Cricetulus griseus: one gene and its partners. The protein of the gene in region 4 purifies or fractionates together with the protein of the main gene of each other region. This does not show direct contact. Links are inferred from orthologs where the notes say so. Each region holds a gene or a part of one and is shown on either strand. Other genes may lie near its edges.

The links.
Region 1: the proteins of Dis3l (region 4) and Gigyf2 purify together in Homo sapiens (affinity purification with mass spectrometry; 3 studies listed by BioGRID and IntAct, with this or other methods). This does not show direct contact. The link is inferred for Cricetulus griseus from reciprocal best matches to the Homo sapiens genes DIS3L and GIGYF2.
Region 2: the proteins of Dis3l (region 4) and Mphosph6 purify together in Homo sapiens (affinity purification with mass spectrometry; 3 studies listed by BioGRID and IntAct, with this or other methods). This does not show direct contact. The link is inferred for Cricetulus griseus from reciprocal best matches to the Homo sapiens genes DIS3L and MPHOSPH6.
Region 3: the proteins of Dis3l (region 4) and Exosc8 purify together in Homo sapiens (affinity purification with mass spectrometry; 4 studies listed by BioGRID and IntAct, counting the BioPlex papers as one, with this or other methods). This does not show direct contact. The link is inferred for Cricetulus griseus from reciprocal best matches to the Homo sapiens genes DIS3L and EXOSC8.
Region 5: the proteins of Dis3l (region 4) and Exosc3 purify together in Homo sapiens (affinity purification with mass spectrometry; 6 studies listed by BioGRID and IntAct, counting the BioPlex papers as one, with this or other methods). This does not show direct contact. The link is inferred for Cricetulus griseus from reciprocal best matches to the Homo sapiens genes DIS3L and EXOSC3.
Region 6: the proteins of Dis3l (region 4) and Exosc7 purify together in Homo sapiens (affinity purification with mass spectrometry; 3 studies listed by BioGRID and IntAct, counting the BioPlex papers as one, with this or other methods). This does not show direct contact. The link is inferred for Cricetulus griseus from reciprocal best matches to the Homo sapiens genes DIS3L and EXOSC7.
Region 7: the proteins of Dis3l (region 4) and Exosc2 purify together in Homo sapiens (affinity purification with mass spectrometry; 5 studies listed by BioGRID and IntAct, with this or other methods). This does not show direct contact. The link is inferred for Cricetulus griseus from reciprocal best matches to the Homo sapiens genes DIS3L and EXOSC2.

The regions. Positions count from the first base shown.
Region 1 is NC_048595.1:438,969,190-438,973,542, forward strand, and holds the start of Gigyf2 (GRB10-interacting GYF protein 2), read left to right. Parts: upstream 1-1,458; 5' UTR 1,459-1,582; intron 1,583-4,353. UniProt on the Homo sapiens protein: Key component of the 4EHP-GYF2 complex, a multiprotein complex that acts as a repressor of translation initiation. In the 4EHP-GYF2 complex, acts as a factor that bridges EIF4E2 to ZFP36/TTP, linking translation repression with mRNA decay.
Region 2 is NC_048596.1:194,428,724-194,432,384, forward strand, and holds part of Mphosph6 (M-phase phosphoprotein 6), read right to left. Parts: intron 2,907-3,661; coding exon 2,794-2,906; intron 1-2,793. UniProt on the Homo sapiens protein: RNA-binding protein that associates with the RNA exosome complex. Involved in the 3'-processing of the 7S pre-RNA to the mature 5.8S rRNA and play a role in recruiting the RNA exosome complex to pre-rRNA; this function may include C1D.
Region 3 is NW_023276806.1:96,562,273-96,566,584, reverse strand, and holds the start of Exosc8 (exosome complex component RRP43), read right to left. Parts: upstream 2,948-4,312; 5' UTR 2,849-2,947; coding exon 2,832-2,848; intron 1,998-2,831; coding exon 1,961-1,997; intron 1,820-1,960; coding exon 1,756-1,819; intron 1,373-1,755; coding exon 1,299-1,372; intron 289-1,298; coding exon 243-288; intron 1-242. Other genes in the region: dolichyl-phosphate beta-glucosyltransferase-like, read left to right, coding at 3,563-3,695, 4,179-4,225. UniProt on the Homo sapiens protein: Non-catalytic component of the RNA exosome complex which has 3'->5' exoribonuclease activity and participates in a multitude of cellular RNA processing and degradation events.
Region 4 is NC_048597.1:175,958,086-175,962,508, forward strand, and holds the start of Dis3l (DIS3-like exonuclease 1), read right to left. Parts: upstream 2,856-4,423; 5' UTR 2,648-2,855; coding exon 2,509-2,647; intron 2,141-2,508; exon of another isoform or gene 2,066-2,140; intron 772-2,065; coding exon 618-771; intron 1-617. UniProt on the Homo sapiens protein: Catalytic component of the RNA exosome complex which has 3'->5' exoribonuclease activity and participates in a multitude of cellular RNA processing and degradation events.
Region 5 is NC_048595.1:98,138,276-98,142,653, reverse strand, and holds the start of Exosc3 (exosome complex component RRP40), read right to left. Parts: upstream 2,838-4,378; 5' UTR 2,829-2,837; coding exon 2,481-2,828; intron 1,925-2,480; coding exon 1,775-1,924; intron 37-1,774; coding exon 1-36. UniProt on the Homo sapiens protein: Non-catalytic component of the RNA exosome complex which has 3'->5' exoribonuclease activity and participates in a multitude of cellular RNA processing and degradation events.
Region 6 is NC_048597.1:230,037,127-230,041,363, forward strand, and holds the start of Exosc7 (exosome complex component RRP42), read left to right. Parts: upstream 1-1,387; 5' UTR 1,388-1,447; coding exon 1,448-1,504; intron 1,505-4,237. UniProt on the Homo sapiens protein: Non-catalytic component of the RNA exosome complex which has 3'->5' exoribonuclease activity and participates in a multitude of cellular RNA processing and degradation events.
Region 7 is NC_048599.1:143,403,207-143,406,365, reverse strand, and holds the end of Exosc2 (exosome complex component RRP4), read right to left. Parts: intron 2,379-3,159; coding exon 2,250-2,378; intron 1,603-2,249; coding exon 1,522-1,602; 3' UTR 530-1,521; downstream 1-529. UniProt on the Homo sapiens protein: Non-catalytic component of the RNA exosome complex which has 3'->5' exoribonuclease activity and participates in a multitude of cellular RNA processing and degradation events.

The DNA of each region.
Region 1 (4,353 bases), on a different chromosome or scaffold from region 4:
GAAAAACCCTGTCTTGAAAACCACAGAGAGGGAGGGAGGGAGGAAGGGAAGGAGAGAGAGAGAGAGAGAGAGAGAGAGAGAGAGAGAGAGAGAGAGAGAGAGAGAGAGAGAAGCTTATTTTGGCTCACAGTTCAAGAGTATAGTCCACCTTGGCTGGGGAGTCATGATGGCAGGAGGTTGATGTGGCCAGTTACATTGCATCCAAGGTTAGGAAGCTGAGTATAATGAATTCTTTGAATGCTTCTGTACAGCTTGCTTTCTCCTTTTTACTCAGTTCAGGACCCCAGCCCATGCAATGGTATTTCCCACTTTACCTACTGTGGGTTTTCCCGCATCAATTAACATAATCTAGGTAGTTCCTCACAAATTTGCCCAGATTTGTTTCCATGGTGACTCCAAATCCCATCAAGTTGACAGTCAAGATTAATCATTACTCTTCTGAATTTAATACCCTTTTATATAGTTTGACTTTGAAAGGGAATCAAGACTCAGGGAGGGAGTCAGAGAGGGAGGTTGGCATGTGTGTATAAGTTTCCAGGTATTGAACCCAGGGTTCCCAACAGGCTATGTATTCATTCTATCACTGAGCTCTGAAACTCCAGTTATCAACATTTAATTTTAAGGTAAAGCCATGTGAGTATATTTGTAAAAAAAGGAAAAAGTTGATGGGAAGAGCTATGTTGAAAAGGACTGGAGGTTGTAGTTCACTGGTAGTGTAAAGCCCTGTTTTAATCCCAAGAAGTAAAGGCGGTATCCAGGGCAGGAAAAGACTAATGGCGCCAGAAAGACCATGATGACTTGAGATGGTAGCTCTAGCAGGTTTAGCAACTAGTAGTATGTCCAGGTAAACATGGGTTCCAGAAAGACAGCCGATAATTTCCTGTCTTCTGTATTGCTGAGTTTCCTATCCTTTAGCTAGCAGCCCTAAAACCGGAGCACGGGATATAAAGGGGTGGTAGGCCGGCATGGAGTAGGAGGGAGTCAGAACTTTAAAACACTTTCCAGCTGTCACATTCCAACACTTTAAAATGAATTTCCATTTCTACCAGAAGGGAAACTGCTTTGAATTTCAGCCTCGCCATTTGCTCCATGATGGGCAAACTGGCAGGACAATGCTAGGCCAAAAGCTATGGAAAAGTTGCAGCTTGGAAATCCAGCTCCCAAGTGATGTGGAGATTCTTGTACTGCAAAGGGGCACTGGATTGGGTGCACTGGAAGTGAGTCACAAGGGCCTCTGGCTGGGCGGGTTCCAGCTCAGGCCACCAGCTCAACTCTAGGGCCGATTGGAGCTTTAGCCAAAGGCCCCAGTGTGCGCCTGCGCAGCCGCTGCTCCGCCCTCTCCCAGCCCTGCATCCGGGTCTCGGGAAGGGGCGTGCCCGGCCGGAGGGGCGGTCCGCAGAGGAAGGGAAAGATGTCGTGGGAAGCTGGAGTGCGGGGAGGGAGGGAGGCGGGGACGTAGGCGGGCCAGGGGGCGGGGCGGCGCGCGGGGTCACGTGACGTGCGTGGCGACGTGTCGGCCATCTTGTGTTGTTGAGGCTGAGGATTGACTTGGGTTCTGAGAGACTCCTGTCCCGGACCGCAGGTAACCAGTGGCTCGGTGTGTCTCCCCTGCCCGCGGCCATCCCGCGCCCGGGCCCCGCCGTGGCGCCCCGAGCCGCCGTGGCCTGGCGCTCACCGTTGCGTCCCCGCCGTTCCGGCCCGAGCTGGCCGCATGGACACACTTGAGGCTGCCCGGCAGCGGCTGCGGCCGGCTGGGGGCGTCAGACGTGTGGACAGGGCAGGTGCGGGGTCGGCAGGAGCTTCCTCTAGTGCGAGGGCCGCCGCGGGCCGGGCACGTCCCGGCCGAGGGCAGCCCCCGGCCTTCGCCCCCGTGGCATCGCGGGGGGAAGCCGAGGAGAGGAGGCGGGAGGCGGGGTGGGCAGTGTCAGGCCGGAGGGCTCGCCTTCCGCTGCCCGCTCCTCGGGGCCGGCCGGCGGGCCGGCCGCCCGCGCAGCCTCGGGGTGCCCCGGCTAACAGCTGCTGGGAGCCGACAGCTGCTCCCGCCGGCGCTCCTGCCCGCACCTGCCCCGGGGAGGTGCGCCCTGGCCTTCCCCACCGAGCATCTGGACTCGGGAAGACTGCTTCCTCGGCCGGAGAACTGGTCTGGAGCAGGCCCCAGGCGAGGTGGAGTCAGGATCTGATCCTGGGACTGAGAGGCTTGGGAAAGTAGAGCCCCGGGCAGCTCCGGGCACCGGAATGTTCGTTCACACCGGGTTGAAATGGGCAAGCAGTTTCCCACGAAGCACTCTTGAACACTTGAGTTTTGTATGCGAAATACCGGTCAAGTGAGCGGGGAAGGGAGGCTGTGAGAGAAGCAGGTTGTGTCACCGCGTTTGGGAAGCAGGAGCGTTGCTTTGCATTTATCTAGTAGCACTGTGTCCCCTCACCTCCCATTTTCTTGAAAGTCAAAGCACTTAAACACACCTAGTGGCTCTATTAGGAAGGTAAGTAGTCCAACATAACATAAGAAATTAAGGGACATCAATCCGGGATGGCTTCCTACCATTGGATTATAGGTAGTTTGGCTCAGAGTGTTGTATTTAGGGACTGTAGTCTTCTGTAGTTTCTCCTAGGAACAATGACTTCCTAGATGACAAAACTTATCATCCTTTTTGTTTATTAATTTTCATCTTTTTTTAAAGGATTTTATTAATTATGTATACAACATTCTGCTTCCATGTATATCTGCAAATCAGAAGAGGGCACCAGATCTCATAGAGGATGGTTCTGAGCCATCATGTGGATGCTGGGAATTGAACTCAGGACCTCCGGAAGAGCAGTTGGTGCTCTTAACCTCTGAGCCATCTCTTCAGCCCCCAATTTCCATCCTTTTAATTTTAGTTAGAACACATACTTTGTCCTCACTTAATGGTGCTTTCCTAGTGTAGCAGCATTTGAATTGCTTAAACTAGGGTATATACTTCATTGTCACATTAGAAGACACTAGAAAAACATTTAGAAGTCACAGGTATCTGGAAAAATAGCACCAACATTGAAAAGTTAACATTGATATGATGTTAGTGATCTGCTAGAAAGGAAAAGACCATACATACCTGTTTTGGTACTTGTCAAGGATTTTACGGTTTTGTGGCTGGGGAAGTAGGGACTATATATTTTTCGACAAACTTTAAGTACTTATGTCGTATGCTGAGGACAAAAATATTTGTTTCTGTGGAGTCATTTCTAGATATCTAAATACTTAAGTAAAGATACACAAGTGTTTCCTAACGTAAACTGATTGAAAGTTGAAAATATTTTAAGCTGAAAATGCATTTAATACAGTCAGCCTGCTGCCCATCTTACCAGCAAAGTCGCTTGTAGAATCTTGATTATTTCCTTCTCATAATTGTATGGCTGGATTGTGATTTTGTGGCTCTCTGTTCCTAGCCAGCAGTGCCAGGAAGTATTGTACCACATATTGCTAACTCAGGTAGAAAAAAAGAGATAGGGAGACAGGGTATAAGAGTTGTGGGAAGGGTTAATTTTTTAATTTAGTCACCTGAGGAGACTTACAGGTAAGTTCAAATTTGAGGAAACACCTGATAGGTAGAGGCAGGGTACTTCAGCCTGAGAGTCAAAAAGGGCAAAAGACCCTGAGACAAAGCCAAATTTAGGCTGGACCTATCAAGGGCTTGCTAGGAAGAGCATGAGAGTGACCAGCCTGGAGAGATTTAAGTGAGGAAGAAACTGATAGCAATGTGTCTACAGACCTCTTTTGGTAGGAAAATGAGATAGATCATTCACTGTTGTGGAATCTCTTCTTTTCCCTTGTGACTGTGTGTGTGTGTGTGTGTGTGTGTGTGTGTGTGTGTGTGTGTGTGTGTGTGTCTGTGTGTGTGTCTGTGTGTGTGTCTGTGTGTGTAACCCAGGCTGGCCTCAAGCTTGATATTTTGCTTCAGCCTCCCAAATGCTGAGCTCTATGGAAAAGGAAAATCCGGATTCTATAGACTTGAGCCAATATCCCTCCCTCCCTTACATTTGGGAAACTCGGTGTTCAGTTCATATGTTTAGGGAATTCTAATGAATTATTTTAAAAGTAAGTTTTTCTTAGATGTGATTGGTGTTAAGTTGCCTGGAAATACCTTTCAAAAGGAATGGCCTTTAAAGGAGGGTATCCCAGCTTCTTGACTGAAGTAGGAGCACTGCAAACTCAGGCTGGTAACTTGGTGAGACACTGAGACTCAAAAGAGCTAGGAATAAAGCTCAGTGGTAGAGCACTTGCCTTGCTAGCATGCCTGATGACAAAGTTCAGTCCTCAGTACTGCTAAAACCAAACCAAACAAAAAAGAATTGGAAGTTTTAGAATATTTGGAA
Region 2 (3,661 bases), on a different chromosome or scaffold from region 4:
ACTGAACTGAACTGGAATCCAATAGCAGAGGATGAGTGATGAGCAAAGGGGTCAAGACCAGGCTGGTGAACCCCACAGAAATAGCTGACCTGAACATCGGGGAGCTCTTGGTTCCCAGACTGATAGCTGGAATACCAGCATGGAACTGATCCAGACCCCAGGAACATGGGTTTCTGTGAGGAAATCTCGGAAATCTACGGGACCTCCTGTGGTAGTTCAGTACTTATCCCTAGCATAGGTGTGGATTTTGGGAGCCCATTCTACATAGAGGGATACTCCCTGAGCCAAGACACACGGGGGGTGGGGTGGGGGTGGGCCACGAGAGACTCTGATGACACCCTATGGAAGGCCTCACCCTCCAGGGGGAGCAGAAAGGATATGTGATAGATAGGGTTTTAGTTGGGGGGTGGGTTGTAGGGGAGGGAGAGGAACTGGGATTGACATGTAAAACAATCTTGGTTCTAATTCAAATTAAAAAAGAAAAAAAATAATTATAAATGTATTATAAATATACATTTATGAAACATGATTCAGAATTTCAATGAAAATATGAATGCAAAAGAAACAATCATGAAACTGAATTTTAAGTGAAAACTGCAGGAAAGTAGCAGATATGAATTCTACAATCAAGAAAAAAAAAAAAAAAAACAGTCTGAGGAAGGAAAATGCCATGGGCAAGATGGGGACACCATGACCTGGAGGCTGAAGCAGGAAGGCTGAGTTTAGAGACTAGCATGGGCTGCAGAGTAAGACCTTGCTTCAAAGACAGAGTACAGTCCTGTATCTACTAAAGAACAAAGATCTGACTTCCTTAATGAAAAATCTTCTGGATAAGAATACTTCAGACCCCAGACCGCTTCACTGCTGAAAATATGGTCAGCACTCCAGAAGAAACAATGGAGTATTATCAACTTTATACAAACTGGGAAAACAAGGAGGTATGAATACTTAGCAACTGACCGATGGCCCAAGTCAAAGACACTTAAACAATATACTTTAACAATTTTTATGAATATAGCCACAAATTATTAATAAAAAATCATGGAACTGGCACATGTCTACAATCTCAGCACTCAGTAGGCCCAGGCCGGAAGACTGGGAGTTCAAGACCTCTTTCTCTCCTGACACACACAAAAAAATAGATGGCTTTCATGTTCAGAAATTAAAGTAATTCCTGACATTTTAACAGAAAACAGTAATCATCTTTTTAAAATTAAACAGCAAAAATATAACTTGCCCTTAGTTAACTAGGGAAAAGAAACTAACCCTGCTGATGAGACGCATCTGCCAAAACACATAGCAGGCTGTACCTGGAATGGACAAGCCAGTGCTTTTCTGAGACATCTGCTCTCAGCACTTCTATTCAACCCATCAAATAACACAAGGAAAGGAAATGGAGGCTGAGGTTCTGGGATCCCCTGGGCTGCCTGTGCCCTCCAGCACAGAATTAGCTCCTATACCATGCACTTACCTCACAGCTTCCCTCCATGTCACAGGAATAAGATGGCGAAGTTATTTATGCCTTATTTACCCAGGAAAGGAAACCCAAAAGTTATTTTCTGAGACCAGTATGTTGTATTAGAAAAAAACAAAAAAACAAAAAAACATATCCCAAATGAGGCAGAACTGTCTTACCCTTTGGTAAATAACTAGAAGACTGTGCAAACTCAACCAACACATAAAATGACTGTTCCTCATCAATACTAGTCCCCTCTGCATACTCCTGGTCACACTGTCCCTAGGCTCATCATCTGTGCTAATCCCCCTGCACACTCCTGTTTACACTGTTCCTTGGCTCCTGTCTGTGCAGTCCCCTGAATACTTTTCTTCACACTATCCTTGGCCTTGTCATCTGTGTTAGCCCCCTGCACACTCCTATGTATACTACCTCCAGGTTTCATATGCTACTCCCTCCCCCTAAGCCCACTCCTATGCATATTATCTTTTGGAAACTTTTCATCTTGATTAATAGTTAGAGCCTGTAAGAAGCACACAGATTAAAAAAGTCACTTTTCTTGGGAATCTGGACTTTCTCTTCCCAGAAGAATATGTCACCATCCCAAAGGACTAGATAAAGTAAAAAAAATAAAATAAAAAGAACAACAACACAGCTAACTAAACTGCAAATTAACAAGGGGAAAAGGGAAAGACAAATATGTATCTAAAAACAGTAGGTAAAATGTTCAGTCATTTTAACAAAAGTGTAAGTAAATAATATACCATACTGAGGTAAGAAAATGAACAAGCTAAAATGCAACACAACTTGCAGGATTTAGACAAAAAGATGAGGTGAATCTACCACTGTCCAACTCAAGACTCTTTCATGTATTAGACAGGTTTGGAAGCAGAACAAAAACTACCTTAGGTATTACCCAGCTTCTGTCCCTCCAGGCAGTTGGCTCTGGGAAAAACAACTCTCTTAAGCTCCAATTCCTCAACAGCAAAGGACACAATGATGCTGGGTATGCTTGGGTTTCTGTATTTATTAACTAAGGGAAATGAAATGCTTAGTTTAGGATAGACTACCAATATAGCAATGTTTGTGACATGAACGGTATTCAGTGTAGTACTGATACAAACAAACACACATCCCTTGGCCTACCGAAGGACAGTTACAGAAACAAAGCTGGTGAGGCCTGACGGTATAATAACCCATCTTTGGGCCTTTGTTTGAGTCCATGTGGAACACACACAGATTAATAGTTTTTAGAAGAAAAGGAAGCACTGCACTAGAAGGATGAGTCAGCTTTACCGGGCTTCCCAAACCACGGTTACAAACCCCAGTAAACCTACTCTTTCTCCTTGAACTCTGGCAAATCCAGGTACCAGTGCTCATCGCTGATCATCTTCTTTTCCTCCTCTTCTAGCTGTTTCTTGGTTTCCGAGTCCAGGCCTCTTTGCATGAACTGCCAAACAAAACCGAACTGTGTCAGTGTCCTAGCTCATCTGTACCATGGGTACACAGGCCACCTAGCAGACTAGTTCAGTAACAGTCCTCTGAATATCAATGAACCTGGACTTGTTTTAGCTTTCCAGATTCCCTTGTGGTTCAAGGTTGCCCCTACATTCCTGGTGTAATCCTAACTGCCCTATATCTTCCATTTTTCCTCACCAGAAACTTTAAGGTACACAGTCACACATATCTACCTTGGATAGAGAGAACAGAACACAATATGGCTGTGAATAAAGCACATCTAGGTTTAGGAAGAAGTTCAATTTTGACTTCACAGTCTTAGGACAGACTTTAGATCTTGCTATTTCATTCCCCTCACTCAAAACTGAGGGTCCAGAGCAGACTCTGGGAAACCACAGCCCTCAGGGTGGCTCTCTATGGTCTACAGTTTACCGTAGCAGTCATGCTGATTCAGTTCTGGGCAGTAATGGCAGAGCTCAGTAGTACATGGGTCCTCACTGGCCTACAAGTCTAGAACATTTACTATCTTGTCCCTTACAAAGCACAAAGTCCTGTCCTAAGGTTCAGAAAGGAACCCAAAATGCACCATCTTTACCCAAACCGTCACCCTGGCAAACCTTCTACCCACATCCTTCTGTCCCACCAGAAATGACTCCATCTTAAATAGATGGCCCAGCCAGATGAATTCAAGAATACTGACGGTCCTGGGGTAACAGCACTTGTTTCCAAGGCTGACAACCTCAGTTT
Region 3 (4,312 bases), on a different chromosome or scaffold from region 4:
CTTGGATAAGGAATATGTATAACTCAATGTGTAAACAAAGACAACCAATAAGGGGTTGGCAAAATTAAGTTCCTGTGATGTTCTCTGTTATAATCTAACAAGCAGAAAGCTTGAGATAAGGGGGGCATTATTCTATTTCTGAATATAGGGAATCACTGCCTAAATCATCAGCACTTCACTACAAAATAGTTCGATTTAAACTTACTCAAGTATTTGCTAAATTACAAGAGCATTTAACTCACCAACATATCCTCTATCAGGGGCATCTAGTGGTGGTGCTGCAAATTCCTACAAAGCAAATACATGTATTCCAGTGAAAGAAACAAGAATAGACTATGAAGACATTCTAGCAATTAGTTACAGAGGCTGTACCAAAAGACCACATCAGCCAATTATCCCATATTTAGCATCTACAGTGCTTGGGGATCACGGCAGAACCCGAAGGATACTGGCACTGCCCTTCCCAACGATTCACAGGAGAGTTAAAGAAGTGCAGTGCAACCAGACTGCTGTTCATAAAGGTGATGAGGACTAGTGGGCTTCTGCCCCACCTCTGTGTACTTGTTTGGGTGCCAAGAATCTGAGTTTAATAACAAATTAATATGGCTAGACTCAGTAACTAGTAGTAACTAGCCCAGCTCAGCTGTAGACCCACAATTTCTAGGCTGAGAGACTTGGGGCACATTATTTGATCTTATAGGTTTCTCTGCTGTCACAGGGACAGATGTCTTATAAGTTTCTCTGCTGTCACAGGGACAGATGAACGGTACCTGCCTACTCCTAGGGCCTACTCCCAAGGCCCAATGAGACAGTGCCATTAAGTTCTCAGTATAAATCTGGCAAGGAGTAGGTGTTCTAATAGTTATCACTTCAGCTTGACAGTACCACTAAAGAAAGAAGAGTCCCTCAGAGTAAAGTCAGAAAGCACAAGTTTTGTCATCAGACTCTATTGTGAGCCTCACACACCTGGGGAGGCTACTGAGCTTCATGGGCTGAGCAGGGTGGAGACTGGTAATTCTGTAAAGTGCCTGATAAGGTGCCCCAACAGCAGGTGGCCAGCAGAAAGCTACTGTCCTTTGTGCCTAACAATTACAAACTACCGATGGCTAAAAGGTATCACTAACAATCTCATTTCAGAAATGATATTGCCAAAATCCGAAAAGTATGAGGAGTAGCTAAGAATCAGTTGTAGGGGGCAGGGATTACAATTCTAAATTCTGACCCCCAGTTAAATTACAACCTCGTAAGCATGAAGCTAATTTGGAGCTCTGCTATCAACAGACAGACAGTGAACTTACTGCTTTAATTCCACAAATGACTGTGGTGTTCCCCAGCTTCACTAGAGCAGAACCGTCAGCTGTACTGATTGAACCTGGAAAGGTAAGCATGGTATTTATTCAAATTCCTTTAAAAAGCAAAGGAAAAAAATACACAAAGTATCCTACAAAGCAATTTAAATGCTTTGGTTTGTATGGTTATCTAGGTAGACCTTTCCAGCTGTCTCTGGAATTTTTGACAGGTTCAGGTCAGTGATTTGAAAATGGTATTACTACTTAATATCTTAATTTCTTCTTCCCCCCAATTTGAGCTAATCAGGTTTAGATAAACTACAAAGATGGTGTAATGATAAAAATCTCTTAACATCACCAAATGCCTTAGGCATAATAGAACTGGTTGTAAAAAAAAAAAATGTGGCACACGGGATGGGGGTGGAGTGGGTGGTGTCCCACCAGGCCAAATGAAGTGTATCTTCACCTATGTTAACAGTTGTGGTTCTGAATTCACCAAGTTCTCTTCCATCAGGTCGGCAGTTTTCTTTCTAAATGTTTATAAGGAAATAGGTTACATATGTATTTCACTTATGCAGGGGAAAACACATTAAGCCTCATTAATTTAAGTGAATTGAAAAACTGTGCCTTGAAGCATATTTTTATTAAGGCAGTAGCACACAAATACTCACCAGAAACCTCCTGTAATACTCCAGTGGTTCCACAGTTCTGAAACATGTTAAAAATGTGTTAAAGTGAGTCAGTGCATCCTAGGGCATAAACCCACAACTTAAGAGTGTGTTGCTGAGGCATCGATCTCCACATGCTCAGGTATTAACCATATTTATAAAAAGGTCTCTCCGGGCAGTGGTGGTGCACGCCTTTAATCCCAGCTCTCGGGAGGCAGAGGCAGGTGGATCTCTGTGAGTTCGAGGCCAGCCTGGTCTCCAGAGCGAGTGCCAGGATAGGCTCCAAAGCCACAGAGAAACCCTGTCTGAAAAAAACAAAAATAAACAAAAAAACAAAAACAAAAACAAAAAATTCTTACAGTAGCAACCAGTCTTAATAGGTGAACTAACTGTGCCCCAGTCAGGAGGACCGGAGTCCAAGGCCCTTGACACACTTAGAAGAGGATTAACTTGGGTGGCAGTCATGTCACTCTAGTTCTGAAAGAGGGAATGCAGCCTCTGATGTCAGGCAGTAAGCAGCATTAGCACTACCTCCAACTTTAACGACCACGAGGAGTGTTTTTGCAGCTACGGGAGCTACGTTGTGGACTCATCAACTACACCCCGTCAAAAGTTACAGCAGGTACGTGTGGCTGCACTCGCTGACACACGAGTTGGCGGTTTACACGCGTGAGCAGCCTGGGACTTCATCAGAGCGCCCACAAATGTTTTACCGTGGAGAGTGGGGTGGCGCTCGGTTAAGAGGCCGGGGCCGTCCTGGCTGCGCCGTCCCTCAGCGCCTCCCGTGGGGAGAGCCCTCCCGCCGCCCCACGAGTACTCGGGGTCCCCCGCCCGCCGCCACAGCCGCGCCTTCTGTGCACGCGCACTCACTCACTTGAATCCGGCCGCCATCTTCCTGCCCGCACCGCGCCTGCGCAGCCCGCCGCGCCTGCGCCCTTCCCTCTGCAGGCGTCTGCCGCCCAGGAGGCTTGGAGGACTCCTGGGTTAGAGAAGCCCCTCCCTCCGTGGAGGCTGTTGTGTTCTCAGGGACCCGGCATGAACAGCAGCTCCGACTCGCCCGGGCGACCCACCATCGCCTGGTTAGGTCCAGGCCTCTTGGGGAGGGCCGGGTCGGTACTGTCACAACCGCCGGTGACACCAGCTCCCACCGGCCTGTGCGCACGAGCCCATACACACAATACAAGTACGCGTAATTAGGGAGACTCCAAAACAGTCCATGTCTCCAAGCCTCCTTAGATGGCTGCATGACATGTGTGTGAGGCTGGTAAGTGCCATCAGTTCACAGATGTCCCCTGTGTTTCAGAGACCCGTGCAATACTCTGTGGAGCCGCGCGAGGGTGCTGCCGGTCGAACCCGGGTCTTGCCATGGCTGGGGGCAGCCATTGTCTAGTAAGGCCTCTGGGGGGGAAGGAGAGGAAGCTTATAGGCAAGAGTGGAGATTCAGGATGGTTTAGCTGTCGCTGCAGCTGGCAGGGATCTGTGTGATGCTGGTCTCCACTGTGCAAATGATAATGTTTTAGCATAGCAAATATACGAGACCAATGTAACATAACTTCCACATCTGCCTGTAGGTTCCTGTTGCTGCATTTATAACTGCTACAAAAAATGCCACCATGTCACCAACATGAAGAAGAGAAAATTCTTCCTCAATGGCAAAGTCCAGAAGGAAACTACCCAGATTCTGGGACTCACCTAGCAAAGAGTTGTCTGTTGTGCCTTCCTACAAGGAAGAGAAACTGTAATTTCTACTTGACTTCATTCACTAATGGGTACTTCCCCCCCCCACCCCCCTTCGAGACAGGGTTCCTCTGTGTAGCTTTAGAACCTGTCCTAGAACTCACTCTGTAGACCAGGATGGCCTCAAACTCACAGAGATCTGCCTGCCTCTGCCTACTGAGTGCTGGGATTAAAGGCCTGTGCCACCTCGACTGCCCTCTAATGGGTTCTTTGAGAAGAAAGGGAGTCCTGCAGTGTTGACAGTCACTGAGAGAAGTGCATGGTTGGCAGCTGTGATTGGGAAGAGGGGAAACTTCTGGAAAGACTGAAGTTTTCTAGAAAAGTCCTATGATGAGAACAAGGGACAATCTGAGAGAGAATGGCCTGAGTGACATCTCAGAGGGTTTTGGTAGATGACAGGCACATCTCCCTATGTGAGTGGAGTATGCTGGGCTAGCTAACTCATTTTCAAAAGCAATCTGTAAAAATATTTTTTTCCCTTTAGTGCCTGTGATGATGGATGAAGCCCGGAGCTACCTAGAAAAGAGACAGGTATCACTTTCAATGTTATATCTCTAGGTAAAGCTAAAGGAGGCCAACAGTTGTTGATCCCAGCTAGGTGCACTGTGGAGGCAGGCC
Region 4 (4,423 bases):
ATTTTAGGGTATTTGTACAGAAAAAAAGGGGCAACCTTTCTTTCATTTAGGCACAAGGCAAGTATTTTAAACTGGTTCAATTAAAAATGTTTTGCTTAGCAAATACAATTACTATGGCTGATAGTTATAGGACTAATCTAAAAATAAGAATGAGCTACTTTTTTAATTTCATTGAATAAATCACTGTAAGTACAATTTGCATCCACAATAAAGGAAGATAAGATTTAAAAGTATTCTTTTACTGAGAAAAGAATGCTCCTGAAACAATGTATCTATAAATAAGAAGATTAAATAATATACATTAGCAAAAATAAAAAGAAACAATTGTGCTACCTATAAAAATGTAAACCAGAAGCCAATTCACGTGGAATCTTAAATACCTGCATCCCCAGGACACTGCAGTTTATTGATCTACAGTCAGATCTTTTGGCCAGGTGTTGAAGCACACATATAAAATGTTACTGCATTTCTCACCAGCAAAGAGAATACCAAATTAGTTTCAAAAATCCTTTCTGACAAAATAATGAATTCCTCCTCCTCCCCTCCAACAAAGGACCTTTTCTAATGGAAGTGGGGGAACTTTCACAATAAATAAATAAATAATGAAAACCAGATACCTCCGGCCTCTCTGATGCTGCACAGCTTGACAAGCCGTTTGCATGAAAATAATTCCCTTCAACTCGGGAAATTCAAGGACCTCAAGGTAATCCTGGACAACTTTCCAGTCTGGGATCACATAATGAGTCACTTCAGCAGACAAGAGCTTCCCATCTGAAACATAATTCAGAGTGGAAGCGATTAGGTAACATTTTCAAACCTGGTTTATGACTATTTCAATGTCACAGTGCCCCCGGTGTGCAAAATAACTTCTCATCTTAATTTCACCTTGAAGTTTTTAAAAGACAAGACAAATCTACTTTGGTAGAGGCTCCAAGTTCAGAGTAGATTCACAGCCACCTTCTCTCTCTTGAAGCTGTGATTAAATAGAAACCCTACATGGTTTATGCTATTGCCAGTTCTTCGGAGAGAATGACTGATATTTTAAAAACATCCTCGGCAGAAAGCTAAATTTCTATGAACTCATCACTGACATGCAAGAACATTCTAATGGATATTTACATATCCATTATATACCTACATATACACACATGTACACATATATGCACATACACGTAAATGCACAAGTGCACATATGTGTGTATTAACCACTTGTATGTACCTAAAAATTCCAAAGTTATTCTGAAGCTTCTGAACATGGCTGGCTACAAGGCTCTAAGAGAGCGATTCTCAACCTTCGTGGGTTGTGACTCCGGGGATGATCGGATAGCAGATGTTTACATTACGATTTATAACAGTAGCAAGATTACAGTTATTAAGTAGCAACAAAATAATTTTATGGTTAGGGGGTCAGCACAACATGAGGAACTGTATTAAAGGGTTGCAGCATTAGGAAGGTTGAGAACCACTGCTCTTAAGGGTTGAAGAGAATGTACTAGAAAGAATGGGCAGTATAAGCCGGGTGTTGGTGGCACACGCCTTTAGTCCCAGCACTCGGGAGGCAGAGGCAGGCGGATCTCTGTGAGTTCGAGGCCAGCCTGGTCTCCAGAGCGAGTGCCAGGATAGGCTCCAAAGCTACACAGAGAAACCCTGTCTCGAAAAACCAAAAAAAAAAAAAAAAAAAAAAAAAAAAAGAATGGGTAGTATGGTAGTATAGGCAGCTGTTTCGTCAAGCTGAAAAGACCTCCCATGCTCATCTCCTACTAGGGGTAACAAACAGCAACCCTACAGCCTGAAAAAAGGGAAATCAGGTCCCCAGCCCAAGGCTCCTGCCATGAAGAAGCTGTCATGCTGGAGGGTCTGCGTTCTGGCAGGAGCAGAGCAGGCCATGTCACATGCCCAGCAGTACGTTCGGGAGTCAGCCGGGAGCAGCCTCTTTCCAGCGGGTCTCCGCTATCTCACTGCCACCGAGCTGCGGGCGGAGGTGCTTTTCGGTCCCTTGGAAAACCCGAAGCACCCTGAGTCTCTGAGCCAAGGGAACACCAGGCTCGCTCTCGGTGCCCCCTACTTTTGGTCCGGCCACTGCAGTAGATGAGTCCCGCGAGTTGCACCCGGGTGTCGCCTGCTTCCCACCCGCAGGAGGGACTGCCTTACACGCAGAGAACGCTCCGCCGGGCCGCCTCCTGGGCTGCCCTGGTCCCGCCAAGCCCAGGCTGGGTTTGCTCGCTCTGGCTCCGCCCTTGACGCCAGGCCAAATCCGCCCTAGCTCCTCAGGCCCCGGCTCCTCTCTCCTTAGGTCCCCACTCCCTTCACTAGTGCCCAGTCACCATTATGACGCCAGGCCCGGGTTCCCTTTGCTCTTTGGGCCTCGGCCTTCTCTTTCCTTCGGCCCCAGCTCGCCTCTCTCCTTGGGTCCGGCTCCCTTCGCTCGCGCCCGGCAGCCCTCGCTACGTCAGGCCCAGGCCTCCCTCTCCTCGGACCCCGGCCTCCCCGGTCCCTCCCGGCCCTGACCGTTGCGGCAGGCGGCGGGCTGCGGGCAGAGCGGGCTGTTGCAGGGCACGCTAGGCCGCAGGTAGTGCTCGCGAACGATCCGCAGTGTCCGGCCCTGGAAAGTCCTCAGCAGCAGCACCTTCTCCCGCTTCTGTAACATGCTGGCGGCGTCGCCCGGCACGGCGGCCGGGAAGCGGCGGGCGGCAGCGGGAGGCGAGGCCGAGGCTTGGGGCCCGCCCCTCGGGCCTGGTCCGGCAGGCAGTGGTAAGAGCGGTCCCGGCACCGGGAACGACCTAGCTGGGGCCGATGGTCTGCCTGGCCCAGCCCAGCCTGCGCCTAGATTCCTCTGTAAGCCTTAATTGCCCCAGAGCCGGAAAGAGTGTGGATAAACTGTTGACCCCAAGGACCAATGGGCATGACGGTAGGATGTGACAGCTAGTCTAAAAGTCTCGTGTGAAAAGATTATTTTACTTTGTTTCTACCCACGGGCCCTTGTGGGAAGGGCTGCCATATTAACAGGGGTAATAACTAGAGTTTTCTCCTCCTTGCTTTTGCAGTACCTAAAATAATCGAAAGGCCCAGCCAAGCTGGTAACCCGGCTGGCCAAAGATGTTTTTCCCTTCAAAACGTACTTACTTTAAATTTTAATACATGTAAACATTCAAACACTACAGATAAAATAAAAACCAGTCCTTCTGGGGTAAACACTCTACAACTTTTATAGCGTTGACAGCCTCTGGCAAAGAACTTCTTAAAACTGCTATTGACACGATCATTAAGTACTGTGCTTATAGCTCTTGACAAAAAGGACAGTATCTCGAAGACCACACACCCTCGCTTCTCCAAGCACTCAGCCTACTGAAACTATGGTTAGCAGCTTCATACGCAAGAGTCTCAATTAACTTCCATAAATCAAAGGAGTGGGCATTTATTTGTATTCCCATTTTACAGGCTGTGAGGCTGCATTAGGGAGCTTAAGTGGCCAAGGATACCTAGTTATTAAGTGACAGAACCAAAGTTAAGCTAGAAACTGGTTAACTCCAAAGCAAGTTCTTAAGTACCATCTATTCACAGGTGAGTAACTAACTCACAGGGCCTGAACCTAAGGAATTTACTGCTTGGCAAGCTCTGGTTAGCTGGCTGGCCCAGTTTCCAGTTGGCTGGAAACATGGGGTGCTAACAATGTTGCTGAATTAAACCAAGTCCAGTCTCTCATTTCACCCTAAGGGAATTGCATAAAGAGTCATGATTCCCTCCTCTGTGTACCTCTGTGTCAAGTTACTCACAGTGAAACTCAAGGTGGACTTGCACAAATGGGAAAACAGTGTAAAGCTGGTACACAGGCAAGGAGAGTCTCAAAAGCTATATATTTATGTATAATTATATATTATATATAACACATAATGATAATGTATCATCTAATACAGGAGTCAGTTCCAGAGGGCCCAAAGGACAGTGAGTAGCTAAAATTGTTCCCTATATAGAAAATGCTTTGACAACTGTCCACAAATCCCTCGAAGTTCCCTTTCTATCTTTTTAAAGCCTCTGGTTCTATGGGACTAGAGGAATGACTTTGATTAGGTCCTAATCTGCCCTTAATATCTCTCTTCAGCACTTTGTGGCTTGAAATTGTCTGCAAATGAACGATCCTTTAAGGAATAGAGCATATCTAGGGTTCTACCGAGAGTTGATTTTTATCAATATTTAAAAAAGACTGGGGATGTAGCTTAGTTTGTAGAGCTCTTGCCTAGCAAGCACAAAGTTCTATCCTATGCACCAAAAACATTAAAACAAAACAAAACAAAACAAAACAAAAAACTAGATGGGTTGGCACACAGGCCTACAATCCCATCACTTGAGAGTAGAAACAAAAGGATCAAAAATGCAAGGCTCTGCTGGAGAGATGGCTTAATGGTTAAGAGCACTGGCTGTTCTT
Region 5 (4,378 bases), on a different chromosome or scaffold from region 4:
AGCAACCACACACTGGCCATAGATGAGATCTCCAACCTATAAGACAGAAAAGCAGAAAAGTTCCCTTCATCCAGAAATCCTTTTTTTTTTTTTTTTTTTTTTGGTTTTTTGAGACAGGGTTTCTCTGTGGCTTTGGAGGCTGTCCTGGAACTAGATCTTGTAGACCAGGCTGGTCTCGAACTCAGAGATCTGCCTGCTGCTGCCTCCCAAGTGCTGGGATAAAAGGTGTGCACCAGTACCATCCAGCTCTAGATTTAAAATGTTACAAAACTGAACTTTAAAATGATGAAGCTGAGGAAACAGAATGAATTTCAACATTAAAAATCCCCACTGTTGAGAGCTGGAGAGATGGCTCACGGGTTAAGAGTACTTGATGCTCTTGCAAAGGACCCAGGTTTGGTTCCTAGCACCCTCCTAGCAACTCACAACCATTCATAACTTAAGTTTCAGGGGACCCGACCTTCCTGCCTGACCTCCACAAGCATCAGTCATATAGAGGGCAAATACATACATAGAGCCAAAACACCCTCGATATGCATACATTAATAATATTTAAGTACCCACCATTTTGGGTGACTACAAAACTTAGAGGGAATGAATCATAAGACACTTTATGCCTTTCAAGAACATGTGATCTTCTACAGGGCAACAAGAATGAATAAACTCATGACAAGTTCAAGAATAAATCCAGTACCATGGTAAAGATACAGGAAAAGTGATGATGATGAATGACTTTACATAGTCGTGCTTAGCCTGGATCTCAATGGATGGATGTCTGTCTCATAGGCTGAGAGACTGCAATCCAGACAGAAGAGCACCATTACTAAAGACCCAAAGGAACCAAGTTCAGTGGTGTTGTGAAACTTAAGCATATTAGCATGAAGTGCTAATATGAGGGAAGACCCCTGGGGCACAATGCCAATGAATTCTCTATGATTTGAACATTTTTTTTCCTGTTAAGAAATGGAATATGGGAGCTGGAGAGATAGCTCAGTGGTTAAGAGCACTGGTTGCTCTTCTAGAGGACCTGGGTTCAATTCCCAGCAACCACATAGTGGCTCAAAACCATCTATAGTGGGATCTGATGCTGTGTTCTGGCATAAAGTCAATAGAGCATTCACATATACTTAAATCTTTTTTTAAAAAAATCCACACATATAAAACCTTTAAAAAGGGAATGTCAACATGAGGATATTAACAGATGGAAGCTGGAATGTTAATGAGATTGCTGCCCAGTTTTGTCAAAAATGAGCAAATGCTTGAACTCATAGACACAAAGGGATAAGGCATGCAAAAGACAAGAGATGGAACAAATAAGATCAAATGACTCAAGACCTGTGAGAGTTGAAAGAAAAGTAGCACAGATGCCATCAAATTTCTGGCTCACATGTATCCTCAGGAAGGATACAGCTAAACCAACCAGAAATCCTGTAGTAACAAGATCACTCTTCTGTCAGCTCCAAGGATTCAGAGCCAAGATGAAGAGATAGATGACTGACAGTACCAGTGTCCCTTAGACTAGGGACACTTTCCTTGTGATATGGATATGAACCTCACAGGTAACAAGGGGAAGCAAACATAACCCTTCAACCTGGGAGAGAAGAACCAAGAACACAGCACTGGTTCTGGAGCTGCAGCGCCTAAGGAACTATCTTGGAGAATCTGAAGGATAGTTTATGCTTTGGAGACAAATCAGGAAGTCCTCTGGGCAGCTAAATTTCTGGGGAGTGGCTATTTTTGCCTTATTGTTGAAACCAAAGGCTCCCATCATTACCTGCACATTCGGTCTGTTTCTTTTAGTTGCTCCTTCAAATGCCAGGTAAGACAAAGAAGCTGGCTCACTCCCTCCAACATCAACTTTGAATATATCTCCAGATTTAGCAATCACTATGCCAATCACGTGGTCTCCTTTCACGGGTACGTACTGCAAAACATAATGAAAGAACAACCATAAAAGACTACTGTAACATATATGCAGTAAGTTTTAGCAAGGTTGCTCAGGATGGGTCTCAAACAATCCTCCCAACTCATATTCCTCAGGTAGCTGGGACTACAAAACCGGGCCGCACCAATCCAACTTTGTTGTCTCTAATCCGTAGTTGACCTGAGTCAGGTTTCATACTTCAGCATCTTTTATACATCCGGCGGCACAAGAATCCTTACAGTCAAGGAAACCCACCCATTAGACACTTCTACATGAAAGCTCTTACTCTACGAATAATTTAACTCCCTGTTATTTAGACTCACTGAAACTGGGACTCCACATGGCACGCCTGCGGCTTCCTACTTTCTAGCCCCTTTCTCCTTTCTCCCTTCTCAAGCTGTGTTTCTACTGTGGTTCCTCTAAAGAAGATGCAGAGGGGACCTAGAAGCCACCGCGGCTCTAGGCTGAGCTCATCCTCTCCTCCCCGCTGCAGGGAGTCTTCCCAGAACTGGGATTCCACTATCGCAGCAGCACGGCCTCTCCAACGTCCGCTCACCCGCTTCTGTTGAGAATCCACCCAGTAAACGCCACCGCCGCCTCCTCCGGGCTCCTTGTGGCGCAGGCGGCCACACTTGGTGACCAGCAGGCGGTCCCCGCAGCGTCGTAAACCCGGGCCACACACGACGCGCAGCCGCGGGCGCGCCCCCGAATTCAGACGTAAAGGCTGCTCCCCGGCGCCGCCAAGGCCGTCTACGTCCTCGTGCTCCGGCAGCACCAGCTCCTCCCCAGGGAGAACCACCTGATTCAGCACGTTGTGCGCTACCCGCGCCCGGCAGCCGGCCACCGATTCTTTCCCAACCGACAGTACTTCAGCCATAGCAGGAGTCGTCGCAGCTTCCGGCATTTTACTTCCGCTTCCGCATCCAAGAGCCCGCCCTCCAGGGTTATCCCTTTCCGGTTTTTGTGGGCTTTCTGAAATAGACTTCAGACCGCCAACCAGTCACATCCTCTCTTCGGTACCCCCTCCTCCCCACCCCCAAACACCCGTATCTGAGCTATCAGCCCACCCACCCTGTGGTTTCTCCGCGGGTGGGTGAAAGAGACGCCCAGCTGGAGTTCATTTGGAGCCCTCACATCCCGTGTCAGGTCTTTCGGCTTAGTCTCTACGGGTGCTGGAACTAAGGGCCCCTGGGTATTGGGTTTGGAGGCTTTACTTTCCATTCAGCCTACAGAAAGGTGGCTGAAATTTTAACTGGGAAAAAAGGGTTTGCAAAGTATGACTTGTTTGGACGTTGCTACCAATTTAAATTCTGTAAAATATAAAGAATGGGAGAACAACAATAGGGGCTGGAGAGATGACTTCATGGTTTAGGAGCACTGGCTGTTCTTCCACAGGACCCAGCACCCACAAGGCAGCTCACAGCTGCCTGTAACCCCAGTTCCAGGGGATCTAACACCCTCACACCGATACACATGCAGACAAAATACCAATGCATATGAAATAAAAATCAATTATTAAAAAGAAAGAACAACGGAAGTCTTACTCATTTGTCTCCTTTGCTGTGTTTTCAGCTGTAGTTCCTATCATTTGTACATAATAGATGTAACACTTATGTGTATTACACTCTAGGGCTCCCCCCCCGCCACCCCCACTCCACCCCCGCGCGCAACACATATCACACCTTTTCACCTACTTGAGTTATCTCTACATGGCTTAGGAAAATCAGTAACTCAGAACAATTCTTGCCCCTATTTCTTTTGGAGCACACCAATTGAAGGAAAGCCCGAATGGGGGGGCAGGGGGCTCTCTCCTGGACCGGATTAGAAGCACACACTCCTCAAACACCTATTTCACAGAGAGATCCTTTATTAATCAGGGAAGAAAAATTAAAGTGGCTGCTTTCTGACTCGGGCAGAAAAACAGCAAGTAACTTTGAAGGTGTAGTTTTTAAAAAAAAAAAAAAAAAAAGATTTTATCTATTATGTATACAACATTCTGCTTCCATGTATATCTGCACACCAGAAGAGGGCACCAGATCTCATAACGGATGGTTGTGAGCCACCATGTGGTTGCTGGGAATTGAACTCAGGACCTCTGGAAGAACAGTCAGTACTCTTAACCTCTGAGCCATCTCTCCAGCCTGAAGGTGTAGTTTTTAAGAAGGGAAAAAAGAGGTCTGCATCAAAATAGACTAGGATGCTAGCATATATTTAGATTGGGCATGTTAATTAGGTGAACCAAAGGGGGATTTTGATAGCTGGACTTTGGTAGTCAGTCTCAGAAGGAGAAAGTAGCCAAATGAAGGAATAGACCTTGGGAGTAGCTTTAGGGATGTGATCTAACGGTTTTTAGCAAGGCAGAAGGAATGGGGTGGGGGGAGGATAAAGCTTGCCACAGCCATGCTTGCCATACTTGAGATGGTCAGAGTCCTTTCACTAACAGCGAGATAAAAA
Region 6 (4,237 bases), about 54 Mb from region 4:
CCTGTAGTACTATGTATGGACACAGGAAGTGCACGCCTAGTCTATCAGTGAGGGCTCAGCAGTTAACAATTCAGTACCTAGGAACATAGTCAGGCACTTCCTGCTGCTTTTTCAACTCACCTGGCAACCCCACTACAGCCACTAATCCACTATTACATCTCTAATCACCATGTTCTGCGGCTATGCTTACAGGAGCCTTCCCTTCTGCCCTGGAAGAGTCTTTGGTCAGAAGTTCTGTTTATTTGTTTTGTTAGCTGTGAAGCCATAGCGAAGAAACGCCCTTTTTTCTTCTTCTTCATCTTCTTCTTCTTCTTTTTTTTTTTTTTTTTTTGTTATTGTTCTTGGAGACAGGGTCTCACTATGCAGCTCTGGTTGTCCTGGAACTCACTATGTGGAGCAGGCTAACCTCAAACTCACAGAGATCCGCCTACCACTGCCTCCCAAGCACTGGGATTAAAGGTGTGTGCGTGGCCCGCACCTTTTACTTCTTGGTGTTTAGCTGTGAAGGGTTACTTTCCTCAAAAATAGAACATCAGGTAAGTGAAGTTTCGGCCAACTCCCCCCATTTTCCCACACAGTTTCTCTAAAATTCGGCTCCTAGACTATCTCTCTTCCTTAAAGGGCTCTCACGACGACCCCAGCTTCACCTTGCAGGCATCCTTTCTGCATATCCAAGTCCCATAATCTCCCAGGGACGGTTCTCTTTCTCAGCAGTCCCCTCCATCCAGGCATTCCGAAGCGCAAGGCGCTCTCCCTACTCTGCCTGGTACAATACTCCAGCAACCACACGAGCCCTGGGCCACTACCTGCTGATGAGCAGTAAGGGAGGAAAGGATAGAGCAAGAGGGGACAGAGAAAGATCGATCGATCCCTGGAGTGGAGGGTGGGAGCGGTGAGCAAACTGAGAAGCCGGAGCCTCACTCCCGGCTCAGACCCTCCGGGACCAGAGGGACCTAACGAGGCATCCATGGTCTCTTCAGCTATCCTGGGGACCCACTAAGAGGCTTCAGGAGATGGTCCCTCAGGGTGGCACGACTTCCGCCTTCCTGGGGCGTCCCGCGTGCGGCCACTTCGACTCCGGCCCCAGCGCGCTGGGGTGCGCGCTTCTCCCGGAGTCCCGGCTGGGGGCCCGCGCCTCCCTCCTCCCGGGGCTTCCTCTCCGCACTGACCGTCACTCTGAAGGCAGCTCGCAGTCCCGCGCCGCCAGCTGCTGCCCCTACCCCGGGGCCCGGCCTCCAGCGTCCGCGATGGCTCGGGCACCGGGCGCCGCGGCTTGCCGGACTCGGCCTCACACCGGGCGGCGCGCGGAGGAGAGGCCCATGGAGCTCCAGGCGGTGGCGGCAGCCGCGGCTGCGGGAGCGGCCGCCGCGCGGCTGATGACGCGCAGGCACGGCGGGGAGGGCGCAGGCTGATGACGCGCCCGCCGCGCTGACGGCGAGCGGGCAGCATGGCGTCGGTTGCGCTGAGCGAGGCTGAGAAGGTCTACATCGTTCATGGAGTGCAGGTAGCGCGGCGGCGGCTGGTGCAGGCTTTAGCGCTCAGGGAAGCGGTGCGGGCGGCTGCGCGGCCGAGACCACGCCCCGAGGCCTCGTGCGGCCTGCGGGAGGGAGAGTCCTAGCCCATCAGGGAGCGACGGGAGTCTCCCGGGGCTGCCGCCGAGTGAACGGAGGTCCGTGAGGACTCCGCGCGCCCGGGGCCTGCGCCCGAGATCCTGGAACCGGAACCGGGCCCGTGGATGGACGCCTGCAGACATTGCACCGAGAGAGACAGAGGCCGTGCATCCGAGGCGGAGCTAACAGCAGCCCGCATCCCTGCCACCCCCTAAAAGCGGGGACAGGAGGGAGTGCCCCTCAGTAGCAGAGGGCTTGCCTAGCACGCACAAGGCCTTGGGGGCTGGCTCCTGTAATCCCAGTACTTGGGAAATGGAGACAGGAGACTCGGAGTTTAAGACCAGCCTGAGCTATGAAGACCCAGGCTGAAGAAAAACCACACTCACACAGAGAAGAGTGGGGGAGTGATTTGGTTCTCTTTTGGCGGTGCTGAGAATCGAACCTCGTGTTCTTGTGCATGCTTGGCAGGCGCTCTACCACAGCCCTATTCTCAGCCCTTCGTTTCTTCTGTTTTGGGGCGTGGGGGCGGGGTCTTTGTATTCCATGCTGGTGTGGAACTCATATCAGTCCTTCTGCCTTGGCAGAAGGCATGCCCCATCACCACCTGGCTGGGAAGGTTTTCTTTTTTTTTCCAAAGACTGGTAGACAGTGGTATAGTTGTTGATTTTCCCGTTTTAGCTTAGATTCCTGGGTAGCTATAATGAATACCATGATGTGTAGTCCATCCTACTTACGGACATTAAAGAGAGAGAGGTGAAGAGTGTTAATCTGGCAACAACCTGTTATCCTGCAAACCTTCTCCCTGTGGTTGGTTTTGTAATGTAGCCATCAGATTAAGGCAACCTGTTACCTTTTAAACTCTATAAGGCAACTGAAGGCCATGGTCTTTTTTAAATCATGACATACTGTTATCTTCTGTGCTCCTTATAGAGTAGAAATGCCAATATTTAGTCAACAGGATCCAAACCCACAACTCTTTAGTTTTCAGTTCAAAGTTAAGAATAGAGAGGTATATGCCGAATGGTGTTGGAGGGAATCTTAAAATAAAGTGGTCAGCCCTGGGGGTGGGGAGAATGTTGCTTCCCTTTCAGTTATTTATTTTTTTGTCAGAAATGTGGCTTTGCCCTAAACCATTCATTCCACATCACTGGTCTTCATGGTGACTGCATTAAAAACTGTTGAGATTTAAATTCCTCAGATTGAGGAAATATTAAATGACCTGAAGAAAAAGTGGGTTCGTTGTATGAATTGGAAAGCTTCCATTCAGCTTCAGAGTACCTTCTCTCAAATAACCATAATGATCAGTGACTATCTCTAGTGATTTGTCTGCTTTTCTTTGTCAGACTGTATCCTTTCTCAGTACCCACTTGTCTAGCTTCCCTTCCATCTTGGTGAAATCTCCCCCCCCAAAAAAAAAACCCTGTACCTATAATTTTGCATGGCTTCTTCATCCCCTCTATCACATCATGGCCTAACAACTCTTTGCTTTTTTTGAAACAGGGTATCACTATATACCCTTGGGTGTCCTGGAACTCAGAGATTTACCTGCCTCTGCCTGTGCCTCCGCCTCCTAGGTTCTGGGAGTAAAGGTGTGTGTGCCACCATGTTGGGCTAGCCTACCAAATCTTAATTAGATCAAAGACCCAATTCCACTGAGAGAATTGGTCTGGGCTGCTAGTGGTTCGTTACAAAAAGAGCTGGTCACCCTCTGTGTGGCATGCCTTAGGTTACATATCTACCTCTGGCCCTATTAGAGGATGGTAATAACTCAGGTGGCAGGCCGCTCCAGGGCCTTATAAGCCCAGTGGGCTTTCTCTGGTCTATCTACTGAGTGTTTTAATTGTAACCTCATAGCCAAACTAGGTCATGGCTATTGATTAGGCTTTCAAAGAGGCTTCCCTCTTGGGGCTCTGTCTAAGCTATTTCATTTCTTTGTTCTTGGCTGTGAGAGGAAGACATGGCTCAGCTGATCTTTTCTGTATCTCTGCTCCTTTTCTATGGCTTTGCCTTTTAGCTTAATTTTTTATCTGGTCTTCATTGATAAAATTGAGAAGTCAGCCATCAGTTGCTCAGTCTGACCATTCAGAACTGAAACTAGTCCCCAGCACATTTCCTGTTTAGCCCTTTGCCCTTTCCATTTACAAACCCATGGCACAGAAAGCCTGTGCCCCATCTGTGACCTTATTGAGCCACATCTGTTGAATGGGATGCAAAACTGCTCAGGAGCATTGGAAAGAGAAATGACAATTGCCATCTAGTTTTACTTGCCATTTCTCGGGTCTGGTCCTGTCTAGTAAGAGGACACTTACGTCTCTGTTCTCCTCTAAGAAATGCTGAGGTACTGGGCATGTCAAAGCAAGGTAGATGGAGGGGTCACTTTCGAGAGCTACTTCTAGTCTGGAATCTTCCTGAGTATGTTGACGTAGTAACACCAATTGCCTTGAACCACATCCAAGTAGCAGAATTGTTATAACGACATGGGTAATAGCTATGCAGGTCACCAGGAGCTAGCCCAGCATCCAGAAGCCCACATTCCAAGGGGCTTCAATCTCTGCTGAGAAGGGCAGGGTCCATGCTGTCATGATGCCCAGAAAACTGTTCCCTTCCCTGTTAATTTCAAACTGGAG
Region 7 (3,159 bases), on a different chromosome or scaffold from region 4:
TGTCCTATTGCAGCTCCAGCCTCCAGAGTTGTCCTAGGTAGCCTGGCTTCCTGAAAAGCCAGGGCACCTTTCTCTTTAGGACTGAGCTGTCCTATTGCAGCTCTAAGCAGCCTGACTTCCTGATAAGTCAGGACACCTTTGTAGCTCCAGAGCTGTAACATACCCACTTACATTTTAGTGCCAAAACCCAGCACTCACATTTGCTTACAGTCTCTGTATAGCCTTGGCTTTGTAGACCAGGCTGGCCTTGAACTCAAAGTGCTGGGATGAAAGGCATGTGCCACCATACCCTGCATCCAAATCAGCCATTGCTCAGAGATGTCCTTGCCTAGTAGTATACACTAAGCCCTAGGCTCTTTCCCTCACTCTGGCAGGCCAGTTTAATGGTAAGGAGGGAGCTTGCTGCCAAGCCAGATGACCTCAGTTTCATCTCTGGAACCCACATTGTAGGACAGAATGGACAAGTGCCCCTGACTTCCACATGTATGCACTCACACCCATACACAAAAATAAATTAATACACACAAAATAAGTGGGGTAAAAGTATGTTAATTGAAAAAATGTCAATTTGGGCACCATTTCTGGTTTTGTGTAGTGAGATAGTCTCACTGTGTAGTCCAGGTTGGCCTCACCTCTGCCTCTGCCTCCATGTGGAAAACATAGGCCTGCACTGCCATGCTGGACCAGGGTACCCATTTTTAAACAGTCATAAGAAAAACAAAGCATAGGAACTGGCACTCTACATTGAGGACTTGTATCATGTTCCTTTTAACTTTAAATTATTCAAAAGTTAATACATCACCACATCAATTATACAAGGAAATGGCTTGGCTTTTCACAGCTGCCTTTCATTTTGGTGGTGGTGTGTGTGTGTGGGGGGGTTGTCAAAGCATCCAAAAGCACTGTGGTATATAGATTCCTTGAACCAGTCACCAGAATGACACACAGTGGGAATCAGGTTCCAACAAAGGTTGCTGGCTCATTTTATTCTTCTATCCACCTCACTGTTGGCCTAACTCTACCACCTCTTCTCCAACCACATACTTGTGCATTAAAGGGATGGAGTAGAAGTCCAAACAGACCATCCCCATTGGCCCTGCATGTCTCTCTTTTTCTTTGGTTTTCTTTTTTTCTGGGGTGGGGGAAGAGCTGGGAATTGAACCTGGGGCCTTGCACACATTAGGAAAGTGTCCTACCCCTGAGCGCTACCCCCAGTCCGTGTTTTCTAGTGGAACAGTTCCATGGGGTGCTGGGTGGTATGACTGGAAGACATGGATTCTCCAAGTTACTCCAAGATATATCATCAGACTGGGACAGCGTGCTCTGAAAGGGACCCAAGTGTCCAAAGCCACCAGAACACAAGAGAACAGGCCTGGCTCTGCTGTGCCGCTGCAGGTGAATAATGTGTTTGTCAGATCCTCCCCGGGCCACATGTAGTGAAGAGTCACCATACGGCAGACTCTTCCTTTCCAGAGAGGCTGCTCCTGAGAGGCACACAGTCCCATCCTTCAGCACCTGGCCTCACCCCTCCTGTTCCAAAAGCCTTTGGCGTGTTTCTAGCATGATCTCCTCCATTATTTCTGGCTTTAAGATATCTTTGATCTGAAGAAAAAAGAAAAAGGTATGTGTTCATTCAGAAATAACCATAAGCAGAACATCAAGTCAACTAAATGAGGCAAGAAGTCTGGCTAAAATACAGTGTAGTCTGCACTCCATCAGAGACTGAGCAAGGACACTGTCTCAGCTCCATACCCAGCTTAGAAAGCAAGCCAGCAAGGTGCCTGGGACAGCTGACAAAGACACTGTTCAGTCACTCATCAGAAGACTGTTCTTTCAGAAAACTCTGGTTCAGTTCCCAGCACCCACATGGCAGTTGACGGTAACTCTGGTTCCAGGGGATCTGATGTTCTCTTCTGGCCTCCCCAGGCATGCATGTGGCGCACAGACTCATACACACGAAGGCAAAACACCTATACACATAAGACATTTTTTTTTTTTAATTTGAGAAAAAAAAATCTATTGACTTGAAAAAAAAATCAAGAAGATGGCTGAATTTTTAGAACAGGTAAGATGTAGTATGGAAAGCTATTGTCATAGAAAAATCCTACCTACAACCCTATCCTACATCAAATCCATAGCAATAGGGGATATACCTCAGGGAACATGGCAGGGACTCATTGGAAGGAAAGCAGAATGCTGAAGAACCACAGGACCAGCTTACACAAGGGAAGGGAGTCTGGGTGGAGTACCTGATGTGCAAGGGAGGCCTCATAGCAGTACAGGATGCTGGTGTCATACAGCATCATTCTCTGAGTTACGAGCAAGACTACGCAGTTCCGAAGCCGGGAGATCACCTCTCGATCACTAAGGGCTACCGGCTACACAGGGACACAAAGAGGAAGGAAAAAAGAAATACAAACAGGATCCAAATAAGCAAACAATCCCAAAAGCCACAGAAGAGAGAAATCACACTCATTTCTACCATGCACTCCATGCCACCCTGCTGGGACAATCTTTATGTACACCGAGTGAAGATGTGTCTGTCCTTCTTTTCGTGCCGAAGGCACCTTCTGATTGGATTAATAAAGAGCTGAATGGCTACTGGAGAGGGTAGGTGGAAGATATAAAAACTCTGGGAAAGGGGCTGGGCAGTGGTGGCGCATGCCTTTAATCCCAGCACTCAGGAGGCAGAGGCAGGCGGATCTCTGTGAGTTCCAGGCCAGCCTGGTCTACAGAATGAGTTCCAGGACAGGCTACAAAGCCACAGAGAAACCTTGTCTCAAAAAACCCAAATTTAAAAAAAGAAACTCTGGGAAAGAATCTGAGGGGCAAGAGATTCACCAGCCAGACAAGGACATGTGCTACATGGCAAAATGTAGATTAATATAAACAGATTAAGTTATAAGACGTTGTTGGGAACAAGCCTAAGCTAAGGCCAAGCTTCCACAATTAATAAAAAGTCTGTGTTTTCAGAAGCTGGCAGTCCAAAACAAGACCATTTAACAAGCTGTATTTTTTTTTGTTTATAATGTGTACACATATAAAAGTTCACGTGTGCATATGCCCATGAGTGCACATGCATAGGAAGGTCAGAAGACAACCTTCTGTCTCATCCTAGGAATGCCATCCACCTCCTTTGAGACAGAGTGTCACTGGACT